Linked DNA regions of Oryctolagus cuniculus. The protein of the gene in region 3 purifies or fractionates together with the protein of the main gene of each other region. This does not show direct contact. Links are inferred from orthologs where the notes say so. Each region holds a gene or a part of one and is shown on either strand. Other genes may lie near its edges.

Region 1 (4,460 bases), on a different chromosome or scaffold from region 3:
AATGGTGTGTCCACATTCGTTTCTGGTAGCTTTGGGATCCGCAAGGAGGGAAGGCCTGCACTTCCGGGAATGGAGAGTCCCTACCCGCACTTCCGGGGAAGACAAGTCCTTGTCAAGGTCCCCACGGGTGCCTAAAGGTCAACCAATGAGGATCAGACCCGCCTCAACCTTCAACGCCCACGCCCTATTTCTATAAAAGGAGCACTCCCAATCTCTCACACAGGACTTCCCCGGCCCCTGCTCTGTTGGGACCGGGGAACCTCGCCCGGGAGCGGGATCCCAATAAAAGCCTGTAAATTAATTGATTCGTCTGCCTGGGAAGATTTGTTATGCGCCGGACACCTTGCAATTCCCACATTTCATATTTAATCTTCCATGCCAGCTTCCTGACCGGTTGGGAGCCCAACATCTCAGCATTCACTGTCCTATCATAAGCCCTTCATATTGTTTCCACATGCTTGCTACTCTAGCGGTGGTTGGGATAGACGGGTGTGGTCAAGACTTTCCTGTGCAACAGGGTCTCCCAGCTCAAGGTGACTCTGTCCCCCAGGGGACACTTGGCAATGCTTACAGACAACTTTTGGTTGCCACAACTCCAGTTGTAGGACTATTGGCTTCTCGTGAGTAGAAGCCACAGCAAACAATTATCTCCCTCAAAATGTCAATAGCCAAGTGCTATACAGTCTGTCTAGAATCACACTGTGTTCCTGGAATATACCAACCGCTTTATTTATACATTTAATTAAATCAAAGGGCAGAGCTACAGAGAGACAGAGACATCTCCCATCCAATGGTTCATCCCCTCCCCCCGCCATGCCCGACACAGCCAGGGCTGGGCCAGGTCCACACCAGGAGGTGCTGCCCAAGGTGGCGCTTCCGGAGCCGGCACAGGGATACTGAACGCGGGCGTCCGGAGCAGCGTGCGGCTACTTCAGCGATTCCTGGAGATGCACACTGTTGCTTTCTAGGAACCAGGCGGGGTTCAGGAGCAGCTAGAACTGAGCGGGGTAGAATTCTGCTGGCACCCAGCAGATGCAGCTCTTCCTCTAAGCCTGTTTGCTCCTCTCCAGGTCAGAAACACTTCTGTCTCCCGTGGCGCACGCAGACAGGTGCGTGTCTCGGGGGACCCCCCGCACCCCCCAACCACACCACACGGTGGCGGCTCGGAAGGTGCGGCTACTACATCAGATTTAAAAGAAGCCCGAGCCCGAGAACAAGTTTTCCTGGCACTGAGAGCACCCAGGCCAATCTCAAACCAGGGGGCCAAAAACTCCGGGAGCGGGCAAATCGAAAATCCAGATCTAAACCTACGGGCGGGAGCCCTGGGTTCCAGAGTCGCCTCCAGCGGCACCCGCTTCCCACAGCGGGGCTGGGGCGAAGGCCCGGATGAGGGCAGTGACCACGGCCCAGGGCCCACACTCACTTTTCTGAAAGCCTCTTTCCACGGCGGCGAGCCCACCAGTTTATAAAGCGAGCGGCGTGGAGACCCCGCCGGCCCGGCCATCTCCTCCTCGCGTGAGTCGCCGCCAAGAGCCCCGCCCCTAAGCGCGCGCACAGAACCCTGGGAGTTGAAGTTTCTGGACGCCGGTGGAACGTGGGTCGCAGGGAGTTCTGGGAATTGTTGTACTAGAACACGGAGACGAAGGATGGGGCGGTGGGGGCTAACGCCGTGAGGTCAACCCAGCCCGGACTGAAAGAGGTAAGTCTTGAAGGAAAGTTCTGAATGCTTGGCAGTATCCAGCCAACAATTAGATACGTAGGGCTCTCAGTCTTTTGCACGGGCGCTAGACGTCCAGGCGCTCCCAAACTTTGTTAACAGGCTCTATACTGTTGACTTCCTCATCCCGCCCCCTCCTGGCTGCGGGGTAAATCCTGGACTGGCCATTGGCTCTCCCTCGGGCTATACCCCTAGCTGATGGGCTGCATCCCCCTTTTGCCCCGCCTCCTCGTGCTAGCCTCGTGCTTCCGGGCTTCCTGCTCGATGATTGGACGAAGCGGTGGACGGCTGGCCACGGATTGGCTGCGCTCCGCGGCGGGCTGAGCAACCCGAGTGAGGCGAGCAGTTGGGCCAAGATGGCGGCAGCCGATGGCGTCGTGGGTGACGGTGAGCCGTGGCAGACCTGGCTTCCCAACCACGCCGTGTTCCTGCGGCTGCGGGAGGGACTGAAACATCACAGCCCAGCCGAAGCCGAGAAACAGACGTCGTCATCACTGCCCACGTCGCCGCCGCAGGTGCTGACGAGGAACCTGGTCTTCGGCCTCTGCGGAGATCTCTTCCTGTGGGACGGGGAAAGCAGCTCGTTCTTAGTCGTGCGCCTTCGGGGCCTCCGCGGCGGCGGCGAGGAGCCCTCCCTCTCCCAGTACCAGGTAGGGCCAGGCCGTCGCGGAGGTGCCCCCCGCGCGGGCTCTCGGCAAGGGGGCCGGTGTGGGCTGGTTCTCGCGGGAGCGGGCGTCCTCTCGGGGACACACCGCTTGGAGCGGGGTGGTGAGTGGGGTGCGGCCGAGGGGAGGGCCGGGACGGTGCGAGAGCGCGGGGCCGGGGTCGCCTTGGGAGCAGGTGCCTGCCCTGGGGGAGGAAGCCTCTGTGGGAGTCTTTCCCCTACCCTCCGCAGAGTTGGAGGGACTTTGGTTTGTTTTTGATAAGTTGTCAGCGTGTGGAAGTGGACGCTTGCTGCGATTGGACATTGCTGTATGAAAATGTTTATTTGTAATACATGATCTGCTTTCATAAAGATTTAAAAAAAAACTTAGGGCACCCTTTCCAACGTCTGACATCTGTTGTGTGCTGCTGTCCAGTTCTTGTTGATGAGCAGTGATTTGATTTTTTTTTAAATGTATTTTGTTTATTTGAATGGCAGAGTTAGAGGTGGAGAAAGAGAGATTGTCCATCCTGGTTCACTCCCCAAGTGACCACTCCCCAACGACCTGGGCTGGACCAGGCCAGAGCCAGGGGCTTCTTCCTGATCTCCCACGTGGGTGCAGGGGCCCAAATACTTGGGACATCTTCAGCTGCTTTCCCAGGAGCATTAGCAGGGAGGTGGATTGGATGTGGAGCAGCTGGGTCTCCAACTGTTGCATGTGTGGGATGCCGGCATTGCAGGTTGTGGCTTAGCCCATTAGGCCATAAGGCTGGTCCAAAGTGCTTTGATTTTAATGAGATGCTAGCATTGCTTCTGCAGCTTTGAAAATAGGTCCAGCCTACAATCTACTTAGTATAAAATTTCAGTTAAGAGTAACTATCAGATCTTCAGTGCGCAGTATTCTAGCAGCGTTCGACACATTCAAAATTGATATATAACTGTTGTCTTTTCTAGGCTGTAAGCACTAAGGCAGGGTGTGTGTCTGCCTTGTTAATTTTGGTATGGCAGGTACTTGACTGAGTGCCTGGAACACACCCCCTCTCAATACATATTGTTGACTGAACAACCCTCAGTCCTCCAGAATCTCGAAAACCTCACAGATTGGTGAGGAAAAGCCATTTACCATGAGTTACAACCTTAAATTAAAAAAAAAAAAAAAAAAGTAGTGATTTTAAAACCAGTAACAACATGGGGCTGGCACTGTTGCATAGTGGGTAAAGCCGCCCGACGGTTGCTCCACTTCCGATCTAGCGCTCTGCCTATGGCCTAGGAAAGCAGTGGAAGATGGCCCAAGTCTTCGGGCCCCTGCACCTGCATGGGAGACCCGGAGGAAGCTCCTGGCTCCTGGCTTCAGATCGGCACAGCTCCGGCTGTTGCAGCCAATTGGGGAGTGGATAGAAGACCTCTCTCTCTCTCTGCCTCTCCTCTCTGTGTAACTCTGACTTTCAAATAAATAAATAAATCTTCAAAAAAAAAAAAGGAACAACAGAAATCTAAATAAAGTGATTTTCATAGATGAACTCATGTGATTGAATTGTATCTGAAGCAGAAGCAAAGCGGCCTCTTCAGTTTGAGTTAGGCTGTGGAATCAGGTAGGAAGAAGTTGGGGGTTGAGCATGAGGAGAAAGCAGAGAAGAACCACGGAAGTGCCTCAGAATTGTTTTGAGAAGAAACGCTTTGATTAGAATCACTGACGGACAAATAAAAAACAAAGCAGGCTTGTAGACATTGCAGCAGTAAGTAGAAATCTCATTCAGAGTAGAGTTGTCTAAAAGAATTTTGGCTTCATGCGATTCTTCATGTACCAGGTAAATAGTACATTGACAGTCTCACGGCTTTCACTGAACAGGGAAAGAAAAGAAAACGGGAATCTGAGGTGGTCTTAGGAAATAGGAAGTACAAGTGGACGTGAGTTTTTCAAGGACTTTTTTTTTTAAGGTTTATTTTTATTTATTTGAAAGAGTTAACAGAGAGGTAGAAAGAGATCTTCCATCCACTGGTTTACTCCCCAAATGGCTGCAATGGGTGGGACTGAGCCAGACGGGAGCCAGGAGCTTCTTCCTGGTCTTCCAAGTAGATGCAGGGGCCAAGCACCTGGAC
Region 2 (4,310 bases), on a different chromosome or scaffold from region 3:
CACATGATTTATAAGAACCCCAATCCTTCTTTCATGGTCTACTTCCAGCTGTCCTTTCCTTATTTCTTGTTAAATATCTGCACAGCTACCATGAACTCAGGTAGCCTGGAATGCCATCTGCCTCCTCCCTGGACAGCTGGGTCTCACACATGACCATTAAGACACAACACAAATGTTACTCCTCTGGGAATCTCTCCCTGATATCCAAGCCATAGTGTATCATTTTACCATTTGTACTCGCATTCAATTTCTGTCATTTTCTCGTGTATTTCGAATATAATGCGAATGTCCCTAAGTCCTGCAGACTGTGGGTACAGCCCTGCAGTTTTGTTAATAATAATACATGAATTCATTATTGTGGTAAGTTTTTTTTTTTTTTTTTTTTTCTGCCATGTTGCTCCAGGGCTGTCTTACTGAATTCAAGAAATAAGTCCACACTTTCTGGAGCTGCTGCCAGTTGAGCCACCAAGTTTTCCCATCTCTCCTTCTCCATTAGAAGTGAAAAGCCAACAACAAAATCCTTTCAGACAGATCCTTCGAGGGCTGCAGGCCTCCGGTTGAGTGCCATCTCTCCAGGAACTCTATTATGGAGTTGGCTGGCACAATCCCCTCTCTTCCGACATGGATAAGCTTTGCCATGTGCGCTCTGCAGGGCCCAGGCTTTCAGCTCCAGAGGTGTTAAATGGCTTGGGAACATAATTTTAAAGGTGACAATTGGATACACACCACAATAAGCATCAAGGGATGAAAGCGCAACCAGAGCTCGAGCCGGGCCCGCTGACACCGCTGGCACCGAACCTGGCTGGAAGTTTCCTGGCAGTCGTGGTGAAAAGGGAACACCTGTTAGCGGATGCCCTTGTTCTCATTCAAGCCAGGGCTGCCAGACGCCTTCTACAATATCCCGGATGTACTTGCTTCTTCCCGATCGGCAGGATCCCACACCTGGCGAATCTGGGCGCCTGCCACCCCGAGGGCTTCCTCAGCCACGACCCCTGTGCGGCTCTGGGGAGGGGCGCCCGCTCTCACTCCCGCAGGGCGCGGGAACCCGGAGCTCCAGGCGCCGTGACGGCCTCCGGGCGTCCGGACACCACTCGGGCTGAGGGGGCCGCCCCCTTTCCCTCTGCCCTCAGGAAAGGAGTGGTCCTCGTAGGGGGCTGGGCACGCGAAGGTGGGGGACCCGAGCCGCTGCCGCTCCCAGGCCGGCCGGGATCCGCTCGTCAGATGGCCGGCGCAGCCCTCCCTGGGGCTCCCAGAGCGGGCTTTCCTGATCCGCGGTTCCCCGGGTCCCCTGCCCAGGCCTCCGGAGCCGCAGGGCGGGGCTCCAAGTGCGGGCGGGACTTAGGCGCGGTGGGAGTGGCCTCACGAGGAGGGCGTGGCCTCACGAGGAGGGCGTGCCTCGCCAGGCCTGGCGGGAGGGGCGGGGCGGGGCTTCAGCGGGGCGGGGCGGGGCCTCGCGAGGCCAGGCGGGCGGGGTCTGGGAGCCTCGGGACGGCTGCAGCCGCGGCTTCCGAGCCGAGGAGAGGGGAGGGGACGGTACGGGAGGAGACGGGGCCACCGGCCGCGCGGAGGGAGTGAGTCACCTGACCGCTGCCCGCGCCACCCGCCTGCCTCGCTCGCTGCCGTCAGACGGGCCGCGCCGCGCTCCGGCTCTGGTGAGTGGCTTGGCCGGCCTGCTCGCCCTGCCCCGGGAGGGTCGCGGCCTGGGCCTGTGAGGGGAGGCGCCGAGGGGGCCTCCGGCGGCTGTTTTCTGGTGGTGGTGGTGGGTCGCGGGGCCGGGAGCGGCTGCGGCCCCGTTCCTGGAAGTGGCCGCGTCCACCGGAAGGGGCGTCCGTGGGTGCCCGTGGCTCTTGAGGCGGCCAGCGCTGTTGTTTACCGGCGCGCGCTGCACTTTACCCCCGGGCGGGCGCTCGCGCGCGCCGCGGGGTCCCGGGCGCCTGCCGCCCCTCCCCGGCCCCTCGGTCCCCGGGTCGGAGCCCACCCGGCGCCCCAGCCCGCGGCCCGCCCTGGCTGTGACACATCAGCACCGCCCTCACGGCCCGGGCCCCGTCCTGCCCTCTGCCCACTCCCAGCGCCTCCGCAGCGTCCCCCGCGCCGGGCGGCGTTTCGCCCTCCCAGCTGGGTGTGGGTCGCGCGGGTCATCGCGTCGGAAAGGCCGAACGGTGGCCAGAGCGGGAAGATCACCTGGTCTAACCTGCGTCTGGGGAAATTGGTTTTGGGGATTGGAGGTCTCAGGGCTCCCATTGTTGGCGTTTTGCCCGCTCGTCGTAATGGGGACTCTCACAACATGGTGAGAGTGGGTGTTGATTGTAGAGACACCGGCTTTGTGCTCCTGTAATGCATCACGAACGCCGTGGCTTTCTCTCTCTCTCCAGGCAGGCTCATGTCATTGAATAGAATTGTGCGGCATGCGTTTGTACCATGAGCCCTCTTTCTGCGTTCAACTTGGGCGGATTCAAGGTAAAGTGTAGTAGTAATTGTGGAGGAGCCTGTGTGGGAAAATCAAGCTACCATGTCGTCTTTGGAGGAACAAAGACTTTGTAGGATGCTGATAGTTTGGAGAATTTATATCTGTGTTGGAACTGTTACCCATGGAGGATGCCACTACTAGGTCTTTGTTCGTCTAGTGGACGCTTATTACATTCCACAGGGTTTGCATTTGAGGCTGTTTGGAAAGATCAAGGGTGGAAATTCTAGGGAGGCAGAGCATTTGAACGTGTCACATGGCCGAGCAAAGAAATGGGAAGAGCTGTCAGCTTGCTTCTTCCTGGTCTCAGGGTAGTGGTGCAAGGGCTGGGCTGGGCTGGGCTGGGCTGGGCTGGGCTGGGCTGGGTTTGGTTTGAAGGCACTTGTCACTTCTGCCATTGGACATCTTAAGGAAACCTAGGAAAAAAGGCTGCTGTGAGTCATCTTGGAGTAGGGTGGCTTTGGGGTAGTGCCTGCATCTTGTTTTGTTGTTGTTTAACATAAGGTTCTGTCAAGCGGTTTACCTTTGTTCAGTATGTTGGTTGGATAATGAGGTAGGATGACTCTTTAAAAAAGTTGTGTTGCTGAGTCATTCACCCGAGCCAGAGAGGTAATTAGGAACAGCTGGTGCAGATAGGCTCATCACATGCCTCCACTATAAAAGGCCAAGGAGCACTGAGAGGGATTGCTTCAGAAGGCTGAAGGGGACTCAGTGGTTGTCTGTTCTGATACATGTAATTAGCTGGGGAAGTGCAGGAGCACTCTTAGGAAGTGGCCAGGTAGCACTGAGGTGTTTAGACCAAGAACAGCTGCGAGATCTGACTGAGAATGAATTTGTACTGGAGAAAGAGCTAAAACTGGGGCAGAAATTTGCAGGCAGTAAATATTTGCAGGCAATAAATATTTGATACAATAAACAATACTGTACTTAGTTTTTTATTTCCTCTTGTTGTATGGTCTTTAACATTTCAAAACATGAACTTAATTGGTTCTTCATGAAAGTTTCTTTATGCTAACACAAAAGGGAGTTTTCCTCTTGTTTTTCATGACTCTTGGCTTTTCATGAATACAGGAGTAGTTTTTTGGTATCAGGAGGGTAATGTGAATGTGGGTGGATTTAACATGTCTGGTACAGTCAAGGCTAGACAGTTGTCTAATGAAAGTCAGATCATACTTATGTGTCTCATTCTCTTGAAAGATAGTACTAGTGTCTTTACATTGCGTGTCATTGTTTCTTGCTTAAAAGTAACCACATAACCCAAGCATAACTTTCCTCAGTGTGGACAAAGTTTAGGAATGGGAAATATGGAGGTGAGGGTTTGGTTCTTAACCTCATGTCAAAAGAATGATGAGTTCTTATAGTAGGTAGTTTTCATTTAAAACATTTTGTATTAGAAAAAATTAATTTTGTTTAAATTTGGGACTAGAGAAGATTATAAATGAATTTTTAGGGTCTCTAATGAAGAGTGCAAGGTGGTAAAATTAAGAAGAAGCTATTAAAACTTTGCTTTTTAAAACTTTTCTATAAAATAAGGAAGACATGAAAGATACAGATTAACAGTACTTGAGTATTACATAGTGAAGGTACATCCCCTCTACCCTTTTCTGCTCATACTTGTTATCCATTGCCAATAACATTTTTTAACAGCTGTACTTTTTTAAAAAACTTCTGATTTCTTCTTAAGGGCAATTTTTATCAATGTAATTCTGTTACTTTTATATTGTGCTTTAAAATTAGAAGCTTGAGTGTAATTTTTTTTGACACATGAAGGTTTTTTAATTTAGCAGTCAGCGTAGCTATTAATTTGCCTTCAAATTACATTTTCTTTTTTTTAATTTTTAATTAG
Region 3 (3,866 bases):
ACATAACATGATACATTTTTTCACTACTGCTAAATGTTAAACAGAATTGTCTTCCATAAATCAGGTGCAGTAAAAGATGTTTTACAAACCTCACTACTAATCTGCCTGTCTCTTGCAAGGAAGAACATCTGTATACAGAATTCTAGAGCAATGACTGAAGAAGTTCCCCAGAATTAAATACACTTCTAACACTAAAAACATGTTTTCCACTTCAGTTCTCTTTTCTTTTGAAATAAGACCACCCCCGCTCCAGGGAGGTGGTATATGAAAGGCAGACATATTTAGAACATTTAAAGATAGGACTTCAAGCCACCTAAGGAGTTAAATGGCTTTAAGCTCAAAATCTTAGTTTCTTCACTTATACTATAACAAGCAATTTACTGATTATTTTTATGCAACTGATTTGTCACATGACATATAATTAGGCCTAACATTCTTTTTACTTTTGGGAGACTTATCTATTGCACTTATAAGTAAAAACACCTATCATTTCTCTAATCTTTTTATTAAGTCAACTTTAAAACAAACCATTAAATCTTTTAATATTGTGAAATATTATTAAAAACTTACTAGAATATATTCTCGATAAAATAATCATTATTTCTCAGTTACCAGCCTAGAACACTGGTCTATGTTGGTTTATTCACACCTTTTATATGTTGTGAATTAGGTTAAAGAGTGAAGATTAAACAGGATTAGCAACTCAATCAAGTAAAAAAAAATTAAATATCCTTCTAGTGACTGTAGACTTGAGTTCATTAACAACATTCAAAGCCGAATCCAACCTTACTTCATGTTTTTCAACCTTATTTTCATACTTTCTTCCAGAAACTGCAGCTTTCCATGAATCCATGTTGGAAGAAATGAAGCTAAAAGTTCCATGTTCAATGTATAACATAAGGGAACAACTGCATGACATGTAATATATACCAAAGGAATAACTTTTTCAAGAATATTTTTGGAGATTACATATTGATCAAGTGCCTCCAAGAATACAGACCTGAACTGAAAAACAGAATCAGCAGAGTAATTTTTTTTCACTCTCATAAATTCCACAGCCCTTTCTTTTTAGTGCTCTTTTATTATAAGGAAACTAGTAGTGCTAATTTCACAAGATAAAAACAATTATGCTGGGTGTAGCAAGTAAAGCCGTTGGCATCCCCTATAGGCACAGGTTCAAGTTCTGGCTGCTCCACTTCCAATCCAGCTCCTGCTAATGTGACTATGAAAGCAGCGAAAAACGGTCCAAGTGTTTGGGCCCCTGCACCACATGGGAGACCAGAAGGAACCTCTTGGCTCCTGGCTTCAGCCTGGTCCAGCCCTGGCCACTGTGGCCATTTGGGGAGTGAACCAGAAGATGGAAGAGCTCTCTCTCTAACTCTACCTTTCAAATAAATAAATCTCAAATGCATACACACACACACACACACACACGCGCGCGCGCGCGCATAGTATTTATATGCCATGCATTTTGGATTATCTATGTAAAAGATACCATATCCACCTCTGAGGTCTCTAAAAACTATGATAGTGAATATGCATTTAACTATCTTGACAATATAAATAGCTCCACATCTACTAGCTGTGTATCATCTAACGAGGAATCTAACATTTTGGCAACGAATTTGTGCTATATTTCACCTTAAAAATCAATTTCTGATCCAACTATAGAAATTTTTACTCATTTAGAGCTGAGTTTAGCTCTGTAAGATAAAGATTCAAGATTGCTCACTTTCTTGTAATATACACAACTTGAAACCACACATTCTTATCTCACTTATCTTTTAATTGGGTGAGAAAAAAATGCTTGACCAAAACATGGCTTATGTATATAATTCTCTACCTTAACAGTAGCACTTTTACAAGGGCACAAAATTCAAACAAAAAAGTACTCTATTAATGGATTTTTAAACAAATATATCCATAAAGTACTTTCATAATTTAAATGCATCTGAAAAAAGAATCATGAAGTCCAAACATACTAAGTATATACAAAGGTACATACAACCTGCAATACCTACAAAGCATTTAACATGTATTAAACAGAGTAAAAGTTCCTGAAATACCAAACAAGTATAATGACAAAGCATCCCACTCCAACCATGTTAAATAACACAGTTTTTTCTCCTGACCAATTCTTATTAATTTTAAGAGGGGTCTTCAAAAAGTTCGTGGAAATTGATATTATGAAAAAATGCTGGATTTCAAAACATTTGCATCTAAATAAACGTGTTTTAATACTACGTTTCCACCAAATTTTTGAAGTATCCCTGTATATCCCAAATTCATATAAACCACAGATTTTCTTTTTAAAAGATGATAGCTTTAAATTTGATTCTAAACACAACAACTTTGTTACACAATGTAATTATGTTATTGTTTTGTTTAGCTACTTTACCTGGGCTCCTTCTCCATGGTATAAGCAATTCACCACATTGTCTAAAAGGTTGATATCCAGTTTTTGGCTGAAATCAAGCAGCTGGCGAGCTGCATGGTCTGCTAACATTGTCATAATTGCTGGCATAGATTACTGAAAATAAAGGAAAAAAATTGAAGCTGTCTATGAGGTTTTGGTTATCAGAAACCTACAAATTATTTCAAACATATTTTTACAAATAACTGGAGTGCCTTAAAAGACCACCTAATTAGTAACAACAGGAACTAAGAGCAAGTAACAGAAGCTAAATTACTTAACTACTCGTCACTAGGGTCCTTTTAACTTTGCTAGCCTTTTTTAGGCCTACCTTGTACCTCTCCCTTCTAAATTTTAGTCTAATAAAAAGCACATTTATAAAATGTTTATTAGGGTTTTAGGGCCCTAAAAACTAATACAGCTGTAAGTCCTGATCCCAAATTCTTAAACAGTTTAACAAGTGGAGGTGGGTTTTTCTTCCTATATAGCATTTTTTGGATAGCTCAGTAAAAGCTCACTCCACATTATCTTAATTTTTAATATATGTCGAAGAAAGTATTAAATATGGATATAGGGGGTGGTATTGTGGTGCAATGCATTAAGCAGCTGCCTGCAACTCCAACACCCGCATCCCATAAGGGCACCAGCTGAGTCCTAGCTGCTCTACTTCCAATTCAGCTCCCTGCTAATGTGGTTGGCAAAGCAGTGGAGGATGACCCAAGTGCTATGCCCCCGCACTCCCTTTGGAGATCAAGATGGAGTTCCAAGAAGCTCCTGGCTTCAGCCTGGCCCAGCCTGCGCTGTTGTGGCCATTTGGGGGAGAGAACCAGCAGATGGAAGCTCACTTGCTCTTTTCTCCCTCTCTCTAACAATGCCTGTCAAATAAATAAATAAATCTTAAAAAATTTTAAGTAAATGTGGATGTAAAATTTCCTATTGTTTAGGATGTAAAAATGTATTTCTTGGTCATATGCTTTCCTTGAATAAATGGTCTAGAAAAAAATGCTTATGGCAATATACCAACCAAGATTTTCAAAAATTTCCAGGTATTCACTGGCAAGGCAAAAGTTTTATAAAAACTTGCCAATTTCAAAATAAAAATAAATTCTATCTTAACAGAAAAGTGAGCTGCCTCAAACAGAGGTACTGGGTAAAAACTGTTCATATGCAATGCTATCCTTTTAAGAGCACACTGGCAGACATGCACATTTTTAGATGCCCAGAACTATAAAAATATTTTCTCTGCTTTTTCTTCAAAGTCAATGCCACTGACATCTGTTTGTAAACTTTTTTGGGGGTCAAGATGCCTTGGAATCAGAGAACATAACAGCTCTAGCCAAATTTTGTATAAAGTCAACAAGGATTCAAGATATCCTGAAAGCCATTTGTGAAACCCATGGGTTGATGTACAGTATTTAGCAGTTAACAGGTTAGAAGGTCATTGCCACTTCTC
Region 4 (4,403 bases), on a different chromosome or scaffold from region 3:
AAGGACCTGGGCCATCTTCTACTGCTTTTGCAGACCACAGCAGAGAGCTGGATTGGAAGAGGAGTAGCCAGGACTAGAACTGGAGCCCATATGGGATGCCAGAGCTTCGGGCCAGGACTTTAACCCGCTGCACCACAGTGCCAGCCCCCATTCATACATTTTGACATAGTTGTTGTGATTAAAAATGCAGCCTAGAGTAATCCAATTTCAATAAAATCTTAGTGTATTCTTCAATGCTTTAAAAAAAAGATTCATTGAGAACACACCATATGCCGTGAACTTTTCTGAGATCACCAGTTCGCTGTGATCTTTGCTCTGTTTGAAGATTTCATATTCTGGTGAGGAGAGACAAAATGTAAACTGGAAACAGACGATTTGATTTGTTGATGATATGGAAATGTTCATCAACGTGTTATCAGTTAATACTGAGATAATGGAGAAAGCTCTGTTCCAAAGGCAGGAGGAGGAGAGGACTTAGGTAATGTGTGACATGAGTTTGATGGACTTGTACGGCCATTATATTTGGCCATTATATTCATAATAATGCCAATAAAAAAACTACAGGGGCCACAGTTGCTTGGGGTGCCTGCTCCCATTTTAGAGTGCTGTTTGGAGTCCTGGAGGCCACAGCTTTCTGCAGCTGGGAAGGCAATAGATGATGACTCAAGTTCTTAGGCCCCTGCCACTCACAAGATTGTTCTGAGTGGAGTTCCAGGCTTATGGCTTAGGCCTGGCCTGGCCTAGCCCCAAGACAGATTTCCCTCTCCCTCACTGTGGCTCTGCCTTTCAAATAAATGATAAGTAAATAAGTCTTTTAAAAACGACTTAAGATTTTGAAAGGTTAAATTTAAAATTGCATGCATATTTGCCTTGGACACTGTAGAATATATGTGCAGTGATGCCTATGCATAAGCCTGGACGGACCTTAAATAAGAGAAAACACTGTCCTATGTGTGTGTATTTTATTGGTGGTGGTGGGGAGGTTAAAGCACGCTTTTAAAAAAGATTTTATTTATCTGAAAGAGTTACAGAGTGTGGAGAGACAGGGAAAAAGAGAGATCCGCTAGTTCACTCCCCAGATAGCTGCAATGGCCAGGGGTCTGGACAGCAGAAACCAGGAGCCAGTTCCCAGGCCATCAGCAGAGAGCTGGTTCGGAAGTGGGGCAGCCGGGACTCAAACCGGCGTCCACGTGGGATGCCGGCTTGACAGGCTACGGCTTTACCAGCTATGCCACAAGGTCGGCCTCTGTGTTTTCTTTCTTTACCTGTCATATGAACTGGCATCCTATGGTTCTCATAGGACTTTGTTTGAAACGTTACCGTCCGCATATATTTAATGTAAAATGCGGCAGGTTTAAAAGTAAGTTTTGGGTTATTTCAGTCTGGGGTGAGGGCTAAGAGTTTCACTTCGCAAGCTCGAGCATTTCGGGGTGGAATGAGGATGCCTCTAGCCAAGTCCGAGCAAAACGCACGAGATTTACTCTTTAGGAGGGGGCCGGCACGGCGCAGATTGGTGACGTCATTTTCGTGCACCGCCGCTTCCGGTCGGCGTGAGTGGTCGGTGGCCGCAGGCTTAGGATATACGCGTGGTGCCTTGCGTTCCTTTTCAAGTCGCCCTCCCTCCTCCGGAACCATGGCCACCGACTCGTGGGCCCTGGCGGTGGACGAGCAGGAAGCGGCTGTCAAGTCGGTCAGTGACTTCAGCTCCAGGCAGGGAGAACACCGTAGGGGCCCAAGCGGACCCTGCTTGGAGCACTGGGAGCGCGGGATCGGGTAGTTCGGTAGCCACCACACTCCTGGAACTTACCGCGGGCAGCCCTTTAGCCGTGATTTGCTCCTCAGGCCCGAGACCAGTATCGAGCTTTTAACAACTTTTCTTCTGGGCTAAAGACGACGCTGTAGTATATCTGTCCCTGCTGTGTTTGCTGCCATCTTTACCCTGATGCGCCTTTTTCTCTTGACGGCCGTGAGAAAAGGCAAATGAAGATGCTGATTCTCTTTTCCACTGTGGTTTCCGAGTGTCCTTGTGTTGCTTTATGTTTAACATTTTTTTAGATCCTTGCTTAATGTGATTGGCAGTTTGTGGCTCTTTACAGAATAACAGAGTCAGGTTTAATGTTTCAATCTACTGTAGATGTTGGAGGGAGGTACTACAAGTTATTTCCTTGATGTTTAAAGTGACATTTAGTTTCATATATTGGTTTCTTGATTTATGAAGACCCATTTAATTCTATTGCAAATTGTGAGTTTCTTATATCTAGGACTTAAGGTTGAGGATTCTTTAGTGATAATGGACTATTTGTTTCAAGAATACAGTTTTTTTTTTTTTACAGTCTTAAGCCTTATATAACTTTTTTTTTTAATTGTACATACTTATCAGGTTCGGTGTGACATTTCAGTAAGTATATATAATATGTCCTTATCAAATCAAAGTAACTAATGTTTCCCTCTCATAGTCATTGCTTTATGTTTGGCATCTTCCAGCTCCTCTCTTTTGTTAGTTCATCAAATACAGATATTGTGAACTACAGCCAGTGCTTTGTATGACTTTTTACACTTCTTCTCTTTTTATTGCTTTGGGAAGATTTTCAGTTTATCAGCAAGTGTCTGAGGTGAACCAAGTCCAGTGGAATACAGGAATCAGCATTATGGTCTGATTAGAAAGGCAACGGTAGGGGGAGTTCTGTGAAAGTGATGAAAAGATTATGTGATAAATAAGCTTTCAGTAGAGGACATTTATGAGTAGGAAATCTGGTTGGTTGGTTTGTTTTCCTTTAAGATTTATTTAATTTTCAAAAGGCAGAGTGACAGAGAGATCTTCCATATACTGGTTCACTCCTTAAATGGCTACAACAACTGGGGCTGGGCCAGGCTGAAGTCAGGAACTCCATCTAGGTCTCCCTTGTGGGTGGCAGGGGCCCAAGTAACTTTGCCATCATCAGCGCTCTCAGGTGCATTAGCAAGGAGCTGCATCAGAAGCCAGGACTTGAACTCTGATACCGGATACCAAACACACACAGCAGCTTAACCCACTGTGCCACAATGCAAACCCTTCTGGGGTATTTCTTGTAAAGAAGTTTACATTTAGCAAGGTATTAGAGAATAAGTTGTATTTAAGATAGAGGTAGAATCGGAAGGCATTTTAGGAAGAGTGTGCACAATTGCTGGACTTGCTCATAGAACCAGGAATCAGAACTCATTTTTGAGGCTAGTGCTGTGGCTTAGTGGGTAAAACTGCCTCCTGGAGTGTCGGCATCCCATATGAACACTAGTTCAAGGCTTGGGTGCTCCATTTCTGATCCAGCTCCCTGCTAATGCTCTGGGAAAGCAGTAGAGGATGGCACAAGTCCTTGAACCCCTGCACCCGCATGAGAGACCTGGATGAAGTTTCTGGCTCCTGGCTTCAGCCGAGGCCAGCCCCAGCCATTGCAGCCATTTAAGGAGCAAAATTCTCTGTCTCTCTCTGACTTTGCCTCTCCTTCTTTATAACTCTTTCATATAAATAAATGATTTTTTTTTTTGACAGGCAGAGTTAGACAGTGAGAGAGACAGAGACAGAGAGGAAGGTCTTCCTTCCGTTGGTTCATCCCCCAAATGGCCGCCACGGCTGGCGTGCTGCGCTGATCCGAAGCCAGGAGCCAGGTGCTTCCTCCTGGTCTCCCATGCAGGTGCAGGGCCCAAACACTTGGGCCATCCTCCACTGCCTTCCCGGGCCACAGCAGAGAGCTGGACTGGAAGACGAGCGACCGGGACAGAATCCGGCGCCCCAACTGGGACTAGAACCTGGGGTGCCGGTGCCGCAGGTGGAGGGTTAGCCAAGTGAGCCGCGGCGCTGGCCTAAATAAAATTTTTTAAAAGTAACTCATTTTTACTGCAGCTTAAGGTTACTGGGTTGAGGTAGAAGCAACATAAGAAACATTGCAGGGTGGGTTTCAGACCTTAAGTAACTACACAGGAGAGGCTTTAATCAGGTAGGTTTAGGGGTTTTTCATTGAGATGCTAACAACATCAGATCTGAAGGCTAGAAAAATACACGGACTGCAGAGAACAAAATGTATTAGAAGGAATGATGCCTGAAACTAAGGAGAGCAGCGTGGAAGTGATTCTGATAGCCCAGAGAAGGAGGGCCTGTGTGGGGCAGCAGATGTGAGGCATTATAATAGAAAAGGAGGAGAAAGGAGATAAAGTTACAGTACTGTTTTCAAGCTGGATCTGACAGGTGTTGTGACTGAAGTGCTAACATCAGGAATCTTGGGAGGAAAGGCATTCAGGAGGTTAGGAGACAGCTTGGTAAATACCTGTGTTGGGGGTGCCCAAGAGGTGTCCAAGTTTGATGACTGACTAAGACTCATGGTTACACTCACAGCTAAGATTTATTACAGTGAAAAGATATAAAGCAAAAT

The links.
Region 1: the proteins of XPO1 (region 3) and NUP88 purify together in Homo sapiens (affinity purification with mass spectrometry; 3 studies listed by BioGRID and IntAct, with this or other methods). This does not show direct contact. The link is inferred for Oryctolagus cuniculus from reciprocal best matches to the Homo sapiens genes XPO1 and NUP88.
Region 2: the proteins of XPO1 (region 3) and BACH1 purify together in Homo sapiens (affinity purification with western blotting; 3 studies listed by BioGRID, with this or other methods). This does not show direct contact. The link is inferred for Oryctolagus cuniculus from reciprocal best matches to the Homo sapiens genes XPO1 and BACH1.
Region 4: the proteins of XPO1 (region 3) and ATP-dependent RNA helicase DDX19A fractionate together in Homo sapiens (co-fractionation; 3 studies listed by BioGRID, with this or other methods). This does not show direct contact. The link is inferred for Oryctolagus cuniculus from reciprocal best matches to the Homo sapiens genes XPO1 and DDX19A.

Annotation. Positions count from the first base shown.
Region 1 is NC_091448.1:50,908,815-50,913,274, forward strand, and holds the start of NUP88 (nuclear pore complex protein Nup88), read left to right. Parts: upstream 1-1,590; 5' UTR 1,591-1,699; intron 1,700-1,955; 5' UTR 1,956-2,073; coding exon 2,074-2,367; intron 2,368-4,460. Other genes in the region: RPAIN (RPA-interacting protein), read right to left, coding at 1,424-1,504. UniProt on the Homo sapiens protein: Component of nuclear pore complex.
Region 2 is NC_091435.1:16,286,038-16,290,347, reverse strand, and holds the start of BACH1 (transcription regulator protein BACH1), read left to right. Parts: upstream 1-1,440; 5' UTR 1,441-1,652; intron 1,653-1,729; exon of another isoform or gene 1,730-2,287; intron 2,288-2,372; 5' UTR 2,373-2,457; intron 2,458-4,310. UniProt on the Homo sapiens protein: Transcriptional regulator that acts as a repressor or activator, depending on the context. Binds to NF-E2 DNA binding sites. Plays important roles in coordinating transcription activation and repression by MAFK.
Region 3 is NC_091433.1:141,217,663-141,221,528, reverse strand, and holds part of XPO1 (exportin-1), read right to left. Parts: intron 2,531-3,866; 5' UTR 2,525-2,530; coding exon 2,399-2,524; intron 1-2,398. UniProt on the Homo sapiens protein: Mediates the nuclear export of cellular proteins (cargos) bearing a leucine-rich nuclear export signal (NES) and of RNAs.
Region 4 is NC_091449.1:56,865,888-56,870,290, reverse strand, and holds the start of ATP-dependent RNA helicase DDX19A, read left to right. Parts: upstream 1-1,533; 5' UTR 1,534-1,633; coding exon 1,634-1,690; intron 1,691-4,403. UniProt on the Homo sapiens protein: ATP-dependent RNA helicase involved in mRNA export from the nucleus.